Linked DNA regions of Kluyveromyces lactis. The protein of the gene in region 2 interacts with the protein of the main gene of each other region in a biochemical or structural test. Links are inferred from orthologs where the notes say so. Each region holds a gene or a part of one and is shown on either strand. Other genes may lie near its edges. The genes, in order: AVO2 and KLLA0_F03839g.

The links.
Region 1: the proteins of KLLA0_F03839g (region 2) and AVO2 form a complex in vitro, tested with the Saccharomyces cerevisiae proteins (2 studies listed by BioGRID). The link is inferred for Kluyveromyces lactis from reciprocal best matches to the Saccharomyces cerevisiae genes SLM1 and AVO2.

The regions. Positions count from the first base shown.
Region 1 is NC_006042.1:2,410,670-2,417,907, forward strand, and holds AVO2 (Avo2p), read right to left. Parts: upstream 1,603-7,238; coding exon 592-1,602; downstream 1-591. Other genes in the region: HOT13 (Hot13p), read left to right, coding at 231-575; UBX4 (Ubx4p), read left to right, coding at 1,913-2,572; SOV1 (Sov1p), read right to left, coding at 2,627-5,206; ribosome biosynthesis protein RRP14, read right to left, coding at 5,596-6,939. UniProt on the Saccharomyces cerevisiae protein: Component of TORC2, which regulates cell cycle-dependent polarization of the actin-cytoskeleton and cell wall integrity.
Region 2 is NC_006042.1:360,789-369,209, forward strand, and holds KLLA0_F03839g (SLM1 family PH domain-containing protein), read right to left. Parts: upstream 5,136-8,421; coding exon 3,189-5,135; downstream 1-3,188. Other genes in the region: MOB1 (Mob1p), read left to right, coding at 52-949; alpha-1,2-mannosyltransferase ALG11, read left to right, coding at 1,305-3,017; KLLA0_F03861g (uncharacterized protein), read left to right, coding at 6,329-6,739; LAP2 (bifunctional aminopeptidase/epoxide hydrolase), read left to right, coding at 7,487-8,421. UniProt on the Saccharomyces cerevisiae protein: Together with SLM2, acts as an effector of the TORC2- and calcineurin-signaling pathways. Phosphorylated and activated by TORC2 under favorable growth conditions. Mediates actin polarization via inhibition of calcineurin-dependent transcription.

The DNA.
Region 1 (7,238 bases), about 2.0 Mb from region 2:
GATCATCTTCATGCACTTAAAATAACTTAAAATCATCTATAAATTAACGATTCATTTATATATTTATGTATATTCTTTCCACACTACTTTTTTTTTCCCACATAGTTTAAATTCGAAAACATTCAAATTGAAAGCTGTTAACCATCCCATACTCAATATCGAGGATTTGAGAGTATATTACTTTCATATTTAAGAATTGTATACTGCAGTATAACTGGTCACCCATCTCCATGGAAAAAGCACAGATATATGGGAAACTTGTGGATAAAGAAAGTCGGTGTGAACACTGGCACGGTCCACTGGACGTTATAGCCCTCCGGTTCAAATGCTGTAACGGATACTATGCATGTTACGAGTGTCACCAGGAATTGGTACCGCACGTCACAGAAAGGTACAATATAAACGACGAAACTGTCCCGTTGGTCATATGCGGCGTATGCAAACTTGAAATGTCGTTTGCTGCATACAGTGATTCGTTGCAATGTCCGAATTGCAGATCGCAATTCAACCCAGGCTGTAAATTACATTACGATATGTATTTTATGAAAGATGATGAACCAGAAAATCTCCGATAGATAAATATATACTGTTCTATCGCGCTGCAGTGCTATCTTCACCTCTTCTCACTTTGGTTATTGCCACATTGAGTAACCTACTTGTCGATGGGATGCTGGGTGACTCCGGGTCACCCATGCTGTTGGAATTGGATTCCCTTGATCTCGGTAAGGTCGGCGGGCCGATAGCAACGGCTTCTGATGCCGCTGTGGAAGCAGCAGAAACTGAAGCGGCGTCTACTGCCACGGTAGTAGCTCTAGGGGAGGCATCCACGATAGCACCTGGAGCGCTTAGGTAATCGTTCAAATCTTTTATGCTGCGTCTTCCACGAAGCTCTGGAGAAAGTGGCCCATTGTTACCGCCTAAGAAAGTCTTGCTAGCTGCTATATCTGGCGTGCCAATTGGTACCGTACTACTGCCGCTACTGACGCCCTTTCTTATCTCGGCGGCAAACTGGTCGAATTTTTTGATGGTCTCGTCGCAATTTCCGACTTGTCTTGCCACTATCCCCATTTGGTTCTGTTCATCGGCTAATGTTGCCCCACCGCATTGCAGCAAAATCGGCAAACATTGGATCGCGCCGTATTCCATAGCTACGTGTAATCCTGTGTTTCCCTCTTCGTCTTCCAATGTTACGTCCGCGCCACATTGTAAGAGAAGAGCCAGGCATCGGGAATGGTTCGATCGGCATGCTATATGGATTGGCGCCCATCTTCTGGCGCTGCTGCTTCGCAGGTTCAACCCTTCTTCGAGGAAATGCTGCAATAATAGATGTACTGTTTGTTCATCCCCTTTCGTAATTGCCAAATGGATACACGTATCCCCGTCGTAGGTTTTTAACATTGCAGTGGCATCATGACCAAGTTGGATCAAATGGCGGCAAATCAAGTATCTACCGTAGAATGCAGCGTAATGCAACGATGACCAGCCGTTCGTACTGTCGATGTTCTCGAGCAGGTCTGGCCATCGTTTGAGAATTCTTCTCACAACGCCCAATTTACCCTGGACAATCGCCTCTCTTAGTCTTATCCTTGGCTCAGGGATCATTGGAACAAAATTTTATAGGTGCAAACTGTTCTCTCTCTTTCTTTCTCACTCTCTTTTCTGTCCATCTATTCTTCACTCTAGGGTAAATACATTGATTTAAGTTATTCCTTTATTTTAAGATTTTATTATTGTACTTTTTATCGCTCGATGTTTATTGTTCTCTTTTTTTTACTTATAATTTTGATATACTACTAATGACAAGTGAAAACGCCAGAAGCTGAAAAACCCTGTTAAACTGCTGTATTGATAATGGAAGAATAAGTGATGAGCAAAGGAGAATATCAAGAAAAGTACTATATTAACTCATTCAATGGCCGATAATTCTACTAATCATCATCCGAAAGTGATATTACCGAGGGACCAAACTAGCGTTAATGGTTCTGATGTGAACGATGCCAATTATAACTTAACTGTAGATCATGCCTTAAGGTATCAGAAACTATTGGCCAATAGAGCAGGGACGAACTTGGCAACTGGCCCACTTATGACCAAAAGGTTAAGAGAACAGAAAGAGGGGCAAGATTCTGCTAGCGCTCAGGCAGCTCAAAGTATAGATTATCTTTACATAAGAGCTAGGTTACCGGATAGAACTGCGCTGGATTATCAATTGAGTGTTACTAGTACACTCCATTCGTTATATGAGACTATAAGGGGATCACTAATAGAGACTGCTGCTGCGCAGGTCTCAGTCAGCTTGTCGAGCCCTTTCATCAAACTAAAGGATGACGATACTGTTACACTCTTGGATGCTGGATTTAGTAAGAAAACTCTAGTTCTTGTGGAGGTTGGTGATTGTTCGCCACCATATCTAAAGCCTCATCTTTTGGCGAATGCAAAGGCCTATGCAGAACAACAACAGAAAGAACAAAAGATACAGGAGAATTCAGGTGGGGAATCCATTGCAGAAGGACCCAAGCCCACCAGGAAATTGACCAAAGCCCCTAAATGGTTGAAGTTAAGCAAAAAATAAATACCAAAAAAATGCAATCATTAAAACGCTTATCTAGATATATACAGGTAATCTTCATTCAACGTATCTGTGAAACTTCAAATCATTCGGATTCAACCCTAATTGCTGTAACTTCTCATTCAATTGATCTTTGCTATAGTTGATCAATCGTAAATATTCCATTAGATCGGCCAATAAATTTTGGAAGTTCTCCTCGTCATCTATGCCAGCGAGTTTTAGGTTGTTGAGGGCTCTTTTGTCTTCTATTTCTTTTAATTTAAAGCGTAGAGATCTGACTAATTCAGTGTCAAGTGTGTCACGCTTTTCCAACTTCATCTTTAGTTGTTCAATATAATCTTTCCTTAACCCTTTCCTAACATATTCTACCCTGGAAGGGGTAATGTTCAACATCTGAACGTCATGCATGTAACATAGAACAGCAAATAGATTATTCCATTCTTTATTAGCGGTGAATGCGCTTATAACTATATTTACAAGTTCATAGTTCAAAAGAGTTCCGTGCTCGATAGTCATCTTATTAAAAACATCGAACATCTTATAATCAAGTCTACTTTTGATGTCTTTTCGTTTCTGTACCGTAGTGTGTATCCAGTTATCACTGCCTCTTAGTTTACAATTTATTAGTCTATAGTATCCTCGGTATACTTTCCAGATCTCTTTGTACAATTTTCGTGGAGGTATTTCGCAAGACTTTGACCCAAGAGACTCTGAAGTGGAGAAAAATCTATTAATTAGAACGATACAATCTTCATATCTCTCCTGGCAGAAAAAATGTCTAAGTAATGACAATAACAACAACGAATTGAGTTTCACTTTGTTTTCATTAGCACGCTGGATCATCTGTTCCACCTTAAGCTCGGCTGTTCTATTCGACTTGTTTCGATAGTACTCGGTGAAAAGAAAATAATGGTGAGAATTTACTGGAGGATAAACTGATGCGCCTTTTTTGACTACATCTTTGTTCGCTTCTTCTTTCTTTGCTTCTTCTAACTTTGATAGTAATTTTAATGCAGCATCCTCACGATCACCGATGAGAAGCAGCTTTATGATCATTTGTAGCTTTTTAGATTTAAACTCTAAGTTTTGCTCATCAGATTCCGCAGAAAAGAATTCTAGTAAGTATTGCTGTAATACATCGGAAACACGTCTAAATCTAACCAAATCGTTCACATTACCGTACAACAAGTAACTGAAACTATTTCTAACTTTGGAGAAGTTATGTTTTTCCATTGCATCATTATACCAACCCTTTAGTTGCTCTAATTTCTTGGTTGCCTCGTCTGGTGATAAATATGGTTCTAACGCTTTTCCAAACGAGTCAAACTCTTTGAGCCATTGTAATCTTAATTTCACAATAAGTGTATTGAATAGTACTCCGTCCATTTTGGTAGACTGTTCAAAATTGGCGAATAATTGCATACCTTCTTTGCTGAACCCATATATTATATATGAGGAAATCATAGATAAGTAGTCTTTCTTCGAAACTTTTTGTTTCTCATTGAGAAAGCTGTTCGCTTCCTCTGAAGAATTGAAGTTTAAAAACCCATTCCTCGACATTGAAACTGTGCTGCGTCCGCCAGCGGCAGCTTCACTAGTATTATCTTCCGCCCAACCATAGGTCTTAACCATAGACAGAAGATGATCTGTCAATTGTCTGGCCTTTTGCACATGTCTTACGAACAATAGTTTTCTGATAGCGGATAGTATGACATCAGGTCTAATATAATTCTCCCCAAACGTGTCCATTGTTTCCAAATACAAATTATTAAACTTATGGAACTTGTTGCTCCTCAAATAAATCATCATACCAACTTCATACCACCACCGCTCGTTGACACGACGTTTATAACTCTCGAACAATGCTGCTGCAGTTTTGAATTTCCTGAAATGTAAAAGAGAATCAATGTAAAAGGATTCATTTCCAGGGTCCAATCTGACTTTCTTGAGTCCATAGATTAGTTGGCCAGTAAGATACTGTCCTCTGAGACGGTATTTCAAATTAGGTATCAATTTCGATAATTCAAATGCTTGTACCATTTGATCTAAGGAAATAATTTGACTTTTATCGACAACTGATGTGTCGGATAAAGTCTTCTCTAATAAATCTAAAAGATGATTTGTGTTAGTCAATGCATGTAGCTTGGGTTTCATTTCATCGTAAACCACTTGTTGTATAATTTTTTCATCAAGGTTTTCTATATCCGTGGAATCGTCAAATATTTCGCTATCCTTATTTTGAGTAAAATGACGATTAATTTCTTCGGGAGACATGGTTTGAAGTCTTTTTATTTCATTTTCTGATTCCAGAAGTAAGTATTCTACCACATCCTTCAATGAGGTTTCCTTCTGTTTCTTTAATTTTCGAAGATTCTTCTTTGATTTCTTGAAGCCCGGATTTGTCACCGCTAAATATGATAAGAACCAAGAATTCACACCAGAGTTTATATCAACTTCAGTGAAGTCATGTTTTTTCAAAACAGCAATGTCTTGCTTCTCCTGTATATGCATTGCATTATCAGCATTTTTCTTTATAGTGGAGATAGTATTTGATAAACTTTTGGTTCGTATATATCGAAGTTGTCTTGGTGTAACGAGTAAACTTAATCGACTTCGACAGGTTATCACATTCAGCATTATGCAATATAGAATCTTTCTCTTCTGCAACGTTGCCTTGTTTCGCTGGAGTGAACCTCTTCAACCTCATCTCATCGAGATACCTTATTTCATCTATACTATTGCGTCTGAACCATTTTCATGATTTTTCGAACGCAGTTTAAAATGAATGAAAAGAAATAACCGCACATTGGCTTCTGAAATCCATTATTAAAGACTACATGGTAATAGAGATTTTATGCATTATTACATTCTGGGTTTGATTATATTTATTTTTATATATCATTGGGTGTCAGTATATAAAAATAGAGATGCAAAAGTAAAAGTAAAAGGTTAATCTATAACTTGAAAGGATGAAATATGATATTATGCTTTTATTTGTTGGATGGAGAATATTAGTTGATTAAGGCTCATTTCTTCTTGACACTTTTCATACGTCCTTCAAATCCTGCTCTTTTCTTCAAATGGGCAGTTCCCTTGAATTTTCTCTTCATCTTCTGTTGTTTGCTCTTCTTCTTACCTTTATTGTCCTTTCTAATCTGTAGATTTTCCTCTCTTCTCTTCTGTCTTTCGGCAACAGTGTTTTCTACCACTTGTTTACGTTCACGCCATTCGACGGTCGACTTACGCTTCTTAGCCTCTTTACGCTTCAAAGCTTTGCGAAGTAGTTTCTCATCATCTTTAAGCCTGATACCTTCTGCTTGCAACATGGCTTTTTGCCATTTTTCCTTCTCTTTCAGTTTAATTTGATCCAATTCATCTCTTGATTCTAATGATTGTTTCTTTGTCTCTAGCAGTCTTAAATGAGCTTTAACGTCCTTTTTGGCAGGTCCCTTTTTTCTTTCACCCTTTCTTACATGCGATAAATCAGATGTAGCCTTTGTACCGTCATTGAATTGAATACTTTGGAACATAACATCTTTGGCTGAAATCTCTTCATCACCATTGCGACGATGTTTCTTGGAAACGTGAGCATCTTCTGCATCCGAGTCCGAATCAGAATCTGCGCTATCATCAGAAGACACATCACCAGCTTTTTCAGAATCTAACTTGGTGGCCCTTGCCTCTTGTCTACGTTTTCTTTGAGCAAGAATAGCTTCTCTTGAACTTGGCGCACCTTCCACCTTGGTTCCTGGGGCTTTTCTTTTCTCCTTTAAAGCTTTGATTTTCTCCTGTAGTTTACAGCGTAATTCTTCCATCTTCTTCTTCTTCTGAGAAGAGTCATCTTTGGTACGTTCGATGGCCTCCTGTTTTTTCTGTATACGCTCTTTCTCTTGCTTCTGTTTGTTCTGATCTACTGGGTTTCCATCATCATCAAAGATCACCGCTATACTCTCAGATTCGCCCAAAGTTTGAGAAATGTTTATTTCCGGTACTTCGTCAGATTCTTGTTCCTCGGTTTGCTCCTCCTCGTCCTCTTCTTCGTCCTCTTCGTCTTCATCATCTTCGGACGATGTTTCAGACTCTGCGTCTAGTAGTTCACGTTGGATCTTCTTTTGGCCTGGTAAAACCACAGCTTTCGCCTGAGCTTGTTTCTTCTTCATAACTTCGAGGGCAGAGCTGGATTCATCGTCCTGCTGCTCAGGATCCAATTTCGATTTCTTATCCTCCTTCAATTGCCCTTTGCTCTTCTTCTTGGCATTCCATTGTTCCTGTGTCTTGTCATCGTAGTAATATTTCGCAGGTATCAACGAAAGTAGCCCTTCAAAGGCGCTAGAATTCGATTTCAACCGTTCTTCAAGAGAATTGCTCATGTCAGGGTGGATTGGTACAACTGAGCTGTGTAAATAATATCCTTCTTACTAAACGAATCTTAGTACTGATAAGTACATTGCTGTAAGAACAAGTTAAGTCTCTGTACCTGTCCGGTGCGATGAGCTGAAAATTTTCTATATACGGTTTTGAGAATATCACGTATGGTGAATCTTTGAGGTTTCTTTTCTACAGGGAAAATTACAAAAAAAAAAGAATACACTTTAAATAAGTCACGTGACCTTAGTCAAAACGAGCGGAAGATGACTTCTGTATATACAATGTACAGAAGTACTGTACA
Region 2 (8,421 bases):
TTGAGGTTTCTGCGATTTTTACTCGCTTGGGAACTTTCCATATGTTTTCAGTCATTTGAGTCCAGGTCAGACGATAAAATCAACTCGAGGATTCAAATGGAATACAGCCAAAAATACGAATAAAGATGGGAATGGCAATGGTAATACAAATGGTAACGGATTCCAAAATGTAAACCTTACAAACGACTTGAGTTTGCCTCAATTTAACGATAACATGCCACAACAGCTTTCAACTCCTCAGAAACAGGCAACTACTGCACATCTTTTCCAATCTGGACTGGATCATGGTGCTGGCCCTGTTACAGATTTCAATTACACACCGTCGCATCAAAGACCTTACATACAGTCAACTTCGGGCACCGTGGTGTCATCCCATCAGGACTTAAGACAGATCGTGGAGACCACTTTGGGGTCCAAAGGTGTTTTAAACCAGGCTGTTAAATTACCTAAGGGCGAAAATATCGACGAATGGATTGCTGTACACTGTGTCGATTTCTACAACCAAATCAATATGTTATATGGGTCCATCACGGAATTTTGTTCCCCACAAACATGTCCAAGAATGATAGCCACTAACGAATACGAATACCTATGGAACGTCCATCCTGGGAAACCTCCTATATCGTTACCGGCACCTAAATACGTCGATTATCTTATCAGATGGTGTCAACAGCAGTTTGATGATGAATCATATTTCCCAAGCAAACCAGGTGCCCCATTCCCAAAAGATTTCAAAGACTCTATCGCAAGACCTATCTTGAAAAGGCTATTTAGAGTTTACGCCCATATCTACTGTCATCATTTCAACGAAATTTTAGAACTCAATCTACAAACAGTTCTCAATACAAGTTTCAGACATGTCTGTCTGTTCTCAGAAGAATTCCACATCTTAAAGACTAACGACTATGGGCCTTTGCTTGAACTTGTAATTGAATTTAAAGATAGGTGAGAACGAATTCCCATTTAAACCGTTCAAAATCAAATGAAAATAGCACTTGAAATGATGGTTCATCAAATCCACATTCGTAGGTAACATATACATATTTTGTATAAGCATCACCCGCCTTCCTTTTTATAGTCTCTCTTATTTTAAGATCTGTCGTGTCTATGCGGATAACTCCGGTTCAGTTTCAACGATAAGGAAACTCAGATTGTGAACAATCTTATTTTACACATAAAAGATGAGGTACAATATATGAAAATCTTGCCTTAATGTCCTGATATAAATATATTAGCGAACGTTAGTTACGAGTTAAACAAGTCAGCCGCGTGTCCTGGGCTACTTTTCAATTGATATACAAACAATGAAGCTGGCTGATTTTGTCACGTACGTGTTCGGCAGCTTACTCGCAGGATTGGTTACATTGAAAGTATTGTCATCCTTCATACCAAGTTTGCTAGTAACTCTACCAGCGAAAGTAAGGTTACGTGTTAATAACTCACTTCTAAAATGCTCAAACAATTTGAACAGGATTCCTGTGCTGGATTTTGGTTGGAAGAACTCCTCTGTTAGAAGAGCCTTTATTTTAGCTTCTGAAAGGCCATCGGATTATACAAACAAAATATATGGCGATAGGGTTCATATAGCATACAATGATAGAATAAAGAGAGAGTCATTCGTTAATAAGTTGGGTTTTGATTCAAAGCGTAAACTCTTAGGGTTTTTCCATCCTTACTGTAACGCTGGTGGTGGTGGAGAGAAAGTCTTGTGGAAAGCCGTTGAGACATCGCTAAATCAGGATAAAAACAATATATGCGTTATCTATACCGGAGACACAGATGTTAATGGATCAGATATATTGAACAGTGTGCGGAGAAGGTTTGAATACGATCTAGATTCGGACAGAATAGTATTCATTTTCCTACAGAAGAGAAGACTGGTAGAATCAAAAAGTTGGCCGAAATTTACGCTATTAGGCCAAGCTTATGGTTCCATCATTTTGTCCATTGAAGCGCTTACTACACTTGCTCCAGATTATTGGATAGATACAATGGGATATCCTTTTGCTTATCCCTTTGTATCTTTGTTTGCTAGGATTCCAATTGTAACGTATACCCATTATCCTGTCATCTCAACAGATATGCTACAAAAGCTAAAAACTATGCCAGGATTTCACACAAACTTTAAACTGATCGGTAAATATGTCTACTGGAAAATATTCATGCTCGCATACAAATTTTCAGGCTTATTTGTTGAAATTGCATCGACTAATTCAACTTGGACTTATAATCATATTAAATCCATCTGGTCCTCAACAAAAAATATTCACATTATTTATCCACCATGTTCCACAGAATCATTGATAGAAGGCTGTGACAAATCAGATCCAGTTAAAAGACTAAATCAAGCGGTTGTTATTGCGCAGTTTAGACCAGAAAAAAGACACGAATTGATATTATCTTCCTTCTCTTCTTTCATCGATGCTACGACTAAGAAAGATTTGATTCCTAAAATAATATTTATAGGATCAACAAGAAACGTAGAGGATAGGGAATATGTTGAAACGCTGAAGAAGTATGCCTTTGAGGCACTTAAAATTCCAACCCATTTAGTGGATTTCAAAACTGATTGTAAATATGATGATATGAAGAGTATATTATATTCTTCATGGTTTGGTATAAACGCAATGTGGAATGAGCATTTTGGTATAGCTGTCGTGGAATATATGGCAAGTGGTTTGATCCCATTATGTCATGCTTCTGCTGGACCTCTTTATGATATTGTAGTGCCATGGGATTCAAAGAAGAATGAACAAAGTACTGACAAAGCTAATGAAACCGGCTTTTTCTTCATCGATGAAACTGATCCGGATTTTCTAGCCAAAGATTCTTCAAAGTATAGTTCTTTACGCACGTTATTTGCTCAGGTATCGAAATTGAATACTGTACAAAGAATTGATATCTCAAATAGAGCCAAGATGTGCTCTTTATCAAAATTTTCTGATTCAGAGTTTGAACGTTCATGGAACGAGGTGTTGGAGGAACTCAATTTGACTCATAATAGAATGTTCAGTTGAATTTGAATTATATAAATTGTTACATTACTTAGACAATGAAGTAAAGCTATAGATGTTTCGATATCAGTTCGTATATGCACTTGCTTTGAAAACATGACATCATACTTGTTACAATTTTGTTTCGGAAGTATTAGCAGAGAGAGGTGACATGGTGCCATTTTGGCGAGATTACTACACGTTATTCTTGGCAGAATTTTCTAATGAATATTGGCCTGATTTACGAGGATTTTTAGGGGTTAAAAACTGCGATGCTTTGTTCATTGGCTCGATATTAGAGTTGTTCAAAGTGGTGTTACCTGTAGTTTCAGAAAAAGCGTGTATCTCGTTTTCTGTCCTTGGGGTTGCCAGAATCGAGTCATTGTTGTCAACACTAGCTCTGGCTGCTTGGTTGCCTTGTGGTGTAGAGTGTGTCAATACCGATTTATTATGTGAGCCATCCAAGTTCAATTTTTCTGTGACAAATCTAGCTTTTTCCACAGGATTGGAGGTAGAAGTTAGCTGTTTAATATTGTTGAACCAGTCCATCATAGATTCGTAAGAATCTGTTCTGAAAACCCAATTATGACCTCTGTGGATAATCCCGTTTTGTTTTGTATGCAATATAAACTTAAAGTCTGAAGATCCTTTCTTGGAATGTTCTGCAACAGTACAGTCATTCAAAGACAACGATATTACGGGAATCAAGTCTTTCTTCCTATCACCGGATTTAAACTCATGCAAGAAACTTGGAGTTAAGACATAGAACCCACGAGAATATGATTTCAAGAATTTGGATCTTCTTTCGAGAATTCCAGATTTAATCTCGTACGTGAATGGATCATTTTGGTTCTTGTAAACAATGTCTTTGACACGTCTCATTGGTAAGTTAGGATCGATGAAATTTGGGTCCTTAGCGACAAAGTTTTCCCATTCAAAGACAGGATCTTTATTGAAAAAACCAGTGTCCAATTTGGAAATCAAAACGTCAAACACTATCTGAGCTTCTTGGCCTAAAACTTTAGCGTAACTGGTCAAAGCGTTTTGAATTTCCATCATAACAACTTTTTCCAACTCCCTACCAGAAGTTTGTAAATTATTAAAAGCTTCATGCAAGAAATTCTCTTCGGTCAACTGTTTCTTGATTTGTTTTTCCAAAAGGATCTTCGCTAGGAAAGGATCCTGTTTCACAGATCCGTATTTAGAATTTTCCAACGATTCCTGGAAAGCTTTTAAACGAATTTTGGTTTCCTGAAGTTCCTTGTTACATGAATTTTTGAAATCTGACTCTAAAGATTGAATTTCTTTAATTTTCACCAATAGATCACGTCTCATATCCTCTAATCTGGGGATCACATCTTGACTCAATTCCTTGGAGGCCTTTGATGCTGCATGGACCATTTGCGTATGGTACTGATTAAATAAGGTGGGTAGATCCTGAATAGATCCGTGCCCTAGAGGCAAAAAGAATTTTTGAATGTTCTTGTCCTCTGGAGTGGTAGGTTGATGTTGGCTATCAATGGTGAAAAATGGGAAGTTAATTGCATGCTGCAATCTCAAATGTTGTCTTACAACTTCATCTTGGATGGAAACCGTTTCTTGTAGATATACAAGAAGTGATCTGATAATACCTCTCCATGCTGCAAATCTCTGAGAGAGAACTTCTGTAGGGTTCGCATTAGTAGGCATCAATACCACCAAAGGAGATCTGGGATCCTGACCGTTGGACCTATGTCTTTGCAATGAAGCCCTGTTTCTGCTAACATGCGTATGCGAGCTAGTCAACGAATTCGTCTGCTGCTGTCTCTTGGAAGAATTCATTTGAGGGAAAGAAATTCCTTCTTCAAGACCAGTTGCATTTGCATTCCCTTGAACGCCAACAACATCCGCTGACATGGATCCTCGCGGTTGGTTCACATCGATAGATATGTTATCGGTCGGATAAGGAATTGTCTGGCCAGCAACCGAAACTCTGTTGTTAGCGCTAGTTCCATTCAATCCGCTTTGCTGGAAATTCTTGTAATCAGCAGAAGTCAAACTTCTAGATGGTTGCTGTTGCAGCTGCTGCAATTGCTGCAAACTGTGTTGGTTTTGCGAAAGCATATCGGCTATACTGCTAGTCATAGTGTTTTGTTTGGACATCTTATCACTCGAAAGCACAAATCAGAAGTAAACTATAATGATGATGATTATGATGATAAAGTCTGCGATAGCCCGGCTTTTCTCTTTTTTTTGTAGCTAAAGGGCTCCTCCTTCTTTATTCCTTAATAACTACTCAAACCGTAATTATCTCCAAAGTACCGAAAATACCTCGCCAGGAGAAAACGCTTTCTTTAACGTTCTATCGTATCAGTTTCTTAACAAAGGGAAAATGGAAGCACAAATCCCTAGTATTGTACTGAACTTGAGGTCCTTGCAAAATTTCTTAAATAATTCTTCCCAGTTTCAATTTTAATTGCAATTTCAAATTTTTGTTATTTTTAAAGCTGGGCTCCCAAAACTTCCTCTAAATATTACTGTACTTGGTGATTACTACAGCATTTTCTTATGATTTTTTTTTTTTCCATTTTTTGCATTCGATGCTTCTGTGAGATAAAGAAAGGTTCAATACATATGGATGGGGTTGGAGAAAGGATGCTGTGGATCCTGGTGGTGTAAAGCTTGCAGATAAGGGGTGTGAAAAGCTAGGACGAAGACGTCAATGGCACTGTCCAGGATAGATCTGTGGGAAGAATGATATTTAGTAGTATATATTACCATGTATTGACGTTTGGCCCTGTACAGAGTGATGAGGATATTCTGCTTCAACTGAATCTCCTTGTATCCATAGGCATTTTTTTTGTTACGTGTGGCATACGTCGAAATCAACTGGCCGAAATGGACGGTATAGTAGAAGTCCTATTCGGCTAAACCGTCTCTTCAACTGGATACCTGTGTTCTGCTCTTTGTCATGTTTTCAGCCACCTCTTTGAAGTGTTGTGTGTAACACCTGTGTGCATACTGTATTTGTTGCTACTGGGGTTCCTGCAAGATCTCTGAGCGATTTCTCCGATCACACAGTTACCTCTTCCGATTAATGACACGTGACACCGAAATATCGTTTTCCCTTTCTCAGATTTTGTTTACGTTTCGTTCAATATGACTATTGAAATCTCGAATTGAGTAAAGTAATGAATCAAGTGATTGACATATCAGCGGATCAGCAGGCAAGGGACTGATATCCAAAGTCTTTACTGTACCCCCGGCGAATCATTTAAATTCAAGAGCAGAACGTTACTGTTCCAACATTATTCAAGAAAAATAGCTCTGGAAAGCTACTGTGGGAGTATCTCTCAATGCAGTATTTCACCAAAGATGCGTCCATGGTGTATACGTATGATGGGATACAAAAGACGAACGCGGGCAATATTAAGCTGCGACGTTTGAAAACATCATCGATATCTAGATTGTTTTCAAGGAGCAAAACTGCACGTCTGCGTAACAGAGGCACAAGGAACAAACAAGCAAAATTTGTAGGGTCTGATTTGAATAAATTAGAGAGGTTCATATATTCAGAGAGATTCATGCCATGTGTCATATTCGTTATCTGTATAGTGACGCTACTGCATCTGATACTTGCCCGGCTGATTAATATGTTTCAGGAAATGGTCAAATATTATTTCTACGCGAACCTTTTCGGAATGGGCTGGGATTGGTACTCGAAATGGAACTGGATAGTTTTACATATACTTGAGAAGTTCGTATAGCTTCATATAATAGATCGCATTAATCGATGTTCTCTCAGTAGTTACAGTGTCTCATGTTAAGCACCATGAATCATACTGTAGTATCATATTTAATAAAAGGCATTATAGTGCGAAAATGCTTACAAATGAACGTCATTGTTTCCATCCTAAAGCCGCTTAATACAGCTTAATGAAAGAACATACAACTGACACAGACTCGTGGTGACAATTTTCCTCACTTTGATCTGAGAACATTTCATGTTTATATTTATTCCATCTTATTTGTCCCATGCGGTTACTCTATGTGTCAAAAACACTTATTACCCGGTACACAATATGAATTGACAAAGGGTACATGAAAAAATGTGTCAATCTGAGCTTTTGCTTCTTGAAATATGAACGAATGTTAAAAAATCTCCGGTATTGCACAATACATACTATCTTCTCATTCATCTTGGCGTTCTTTCTTATATTGTACTTCCATTTTGAGTTTCTCTTTTGAAAACAAGTGCATGCACGTACTGGCTAATTCAGTTGGCTCTAATTTGTCCCCTGTTACCCCTATATTGTGGAAACTTTAACAAGAGCTTTGTCTGTCTTTTTGTTTTAATATTGTGTGTGTGTGTTTTTTTTTTTTTTTCATTAATATCTAACTACTGGAGAGATCGTTTTGAGGTTGACCAATATTTAGTCAATTGTGTGTCTTTTACCTAATTTTTCAAGCGGTTCCATCTTCGGCGCATCGTTAAACTCATCCCTGCCAAGTGTATGCTTTTCAATTTTTACAATAAAACTTCGGCTGCTTGTAAATCTTTACCCGCTAAAGCTTTATCGAACGTTAGATATTTCCAAACCTCTCCTATATCGAGAAAAATGCCACTTCCACCTGTTCTTGAATCACGTCGTCCCAAAGAATCTCCGGAATTCGACTATTCTACACTTTCCAATTACAAGTCTTTCAAGGTAAAGCATTCACAGTTGGATGTTAGCGTTGATTTCAAAAAGAAAACCATTAGTGGTTCTGTCTCTTACGAGATTGAAAAGGTGAAGAAGGATGAAAACACTATCAAGTTGGATACTTCTTACTTGAAGATCTCTAAAGTCAAAGTGGATGATGAAGACGACGTGAAGTTTAAATTGTTAGAAAGAAAACATCCATTGGGTGCTCAGTTAATTGTTAGTCCATCTTCTTTGCCGGAAATATTCCATTTGTGCTTACAATTTTCGACAACTGCAGACTGTACAGCATTGCAATGGCTTGATGAACACCAAACATCTGGGAAACCGTACGTTTTCTCTCAATTGGAAGCCATCCATGCGAGAAGTCTATTCACATGTTTTGATACCCCAAGTGTAAAATCTACATATCTCGCCAACATCAAGTCTGAATTACCAGTTGTGTTTTCGGGTATCCAAACAGGTTACGATGATTCTACTAAGGTCTACTCTTTCAAGCAAGAAGTACCAATTCCAGCATATTTGATCGGTATCGCATCAGGTGATTTGGCCAGCGCTGATATTGGTCCTCGTTCCAAAGTTTACGTGGAACCTTATCGTTTAAAGGACGCCCAGTGGGAATTTGATGGTGATGTTGAAAAATTCATTACCACTGCTGAAGACATCATTTTCAAATACGAATGGGGCACCTACGACATTTTGGTGAACCCAAACTCATACCCTTATGGTGGAATGGAATCTCCAAA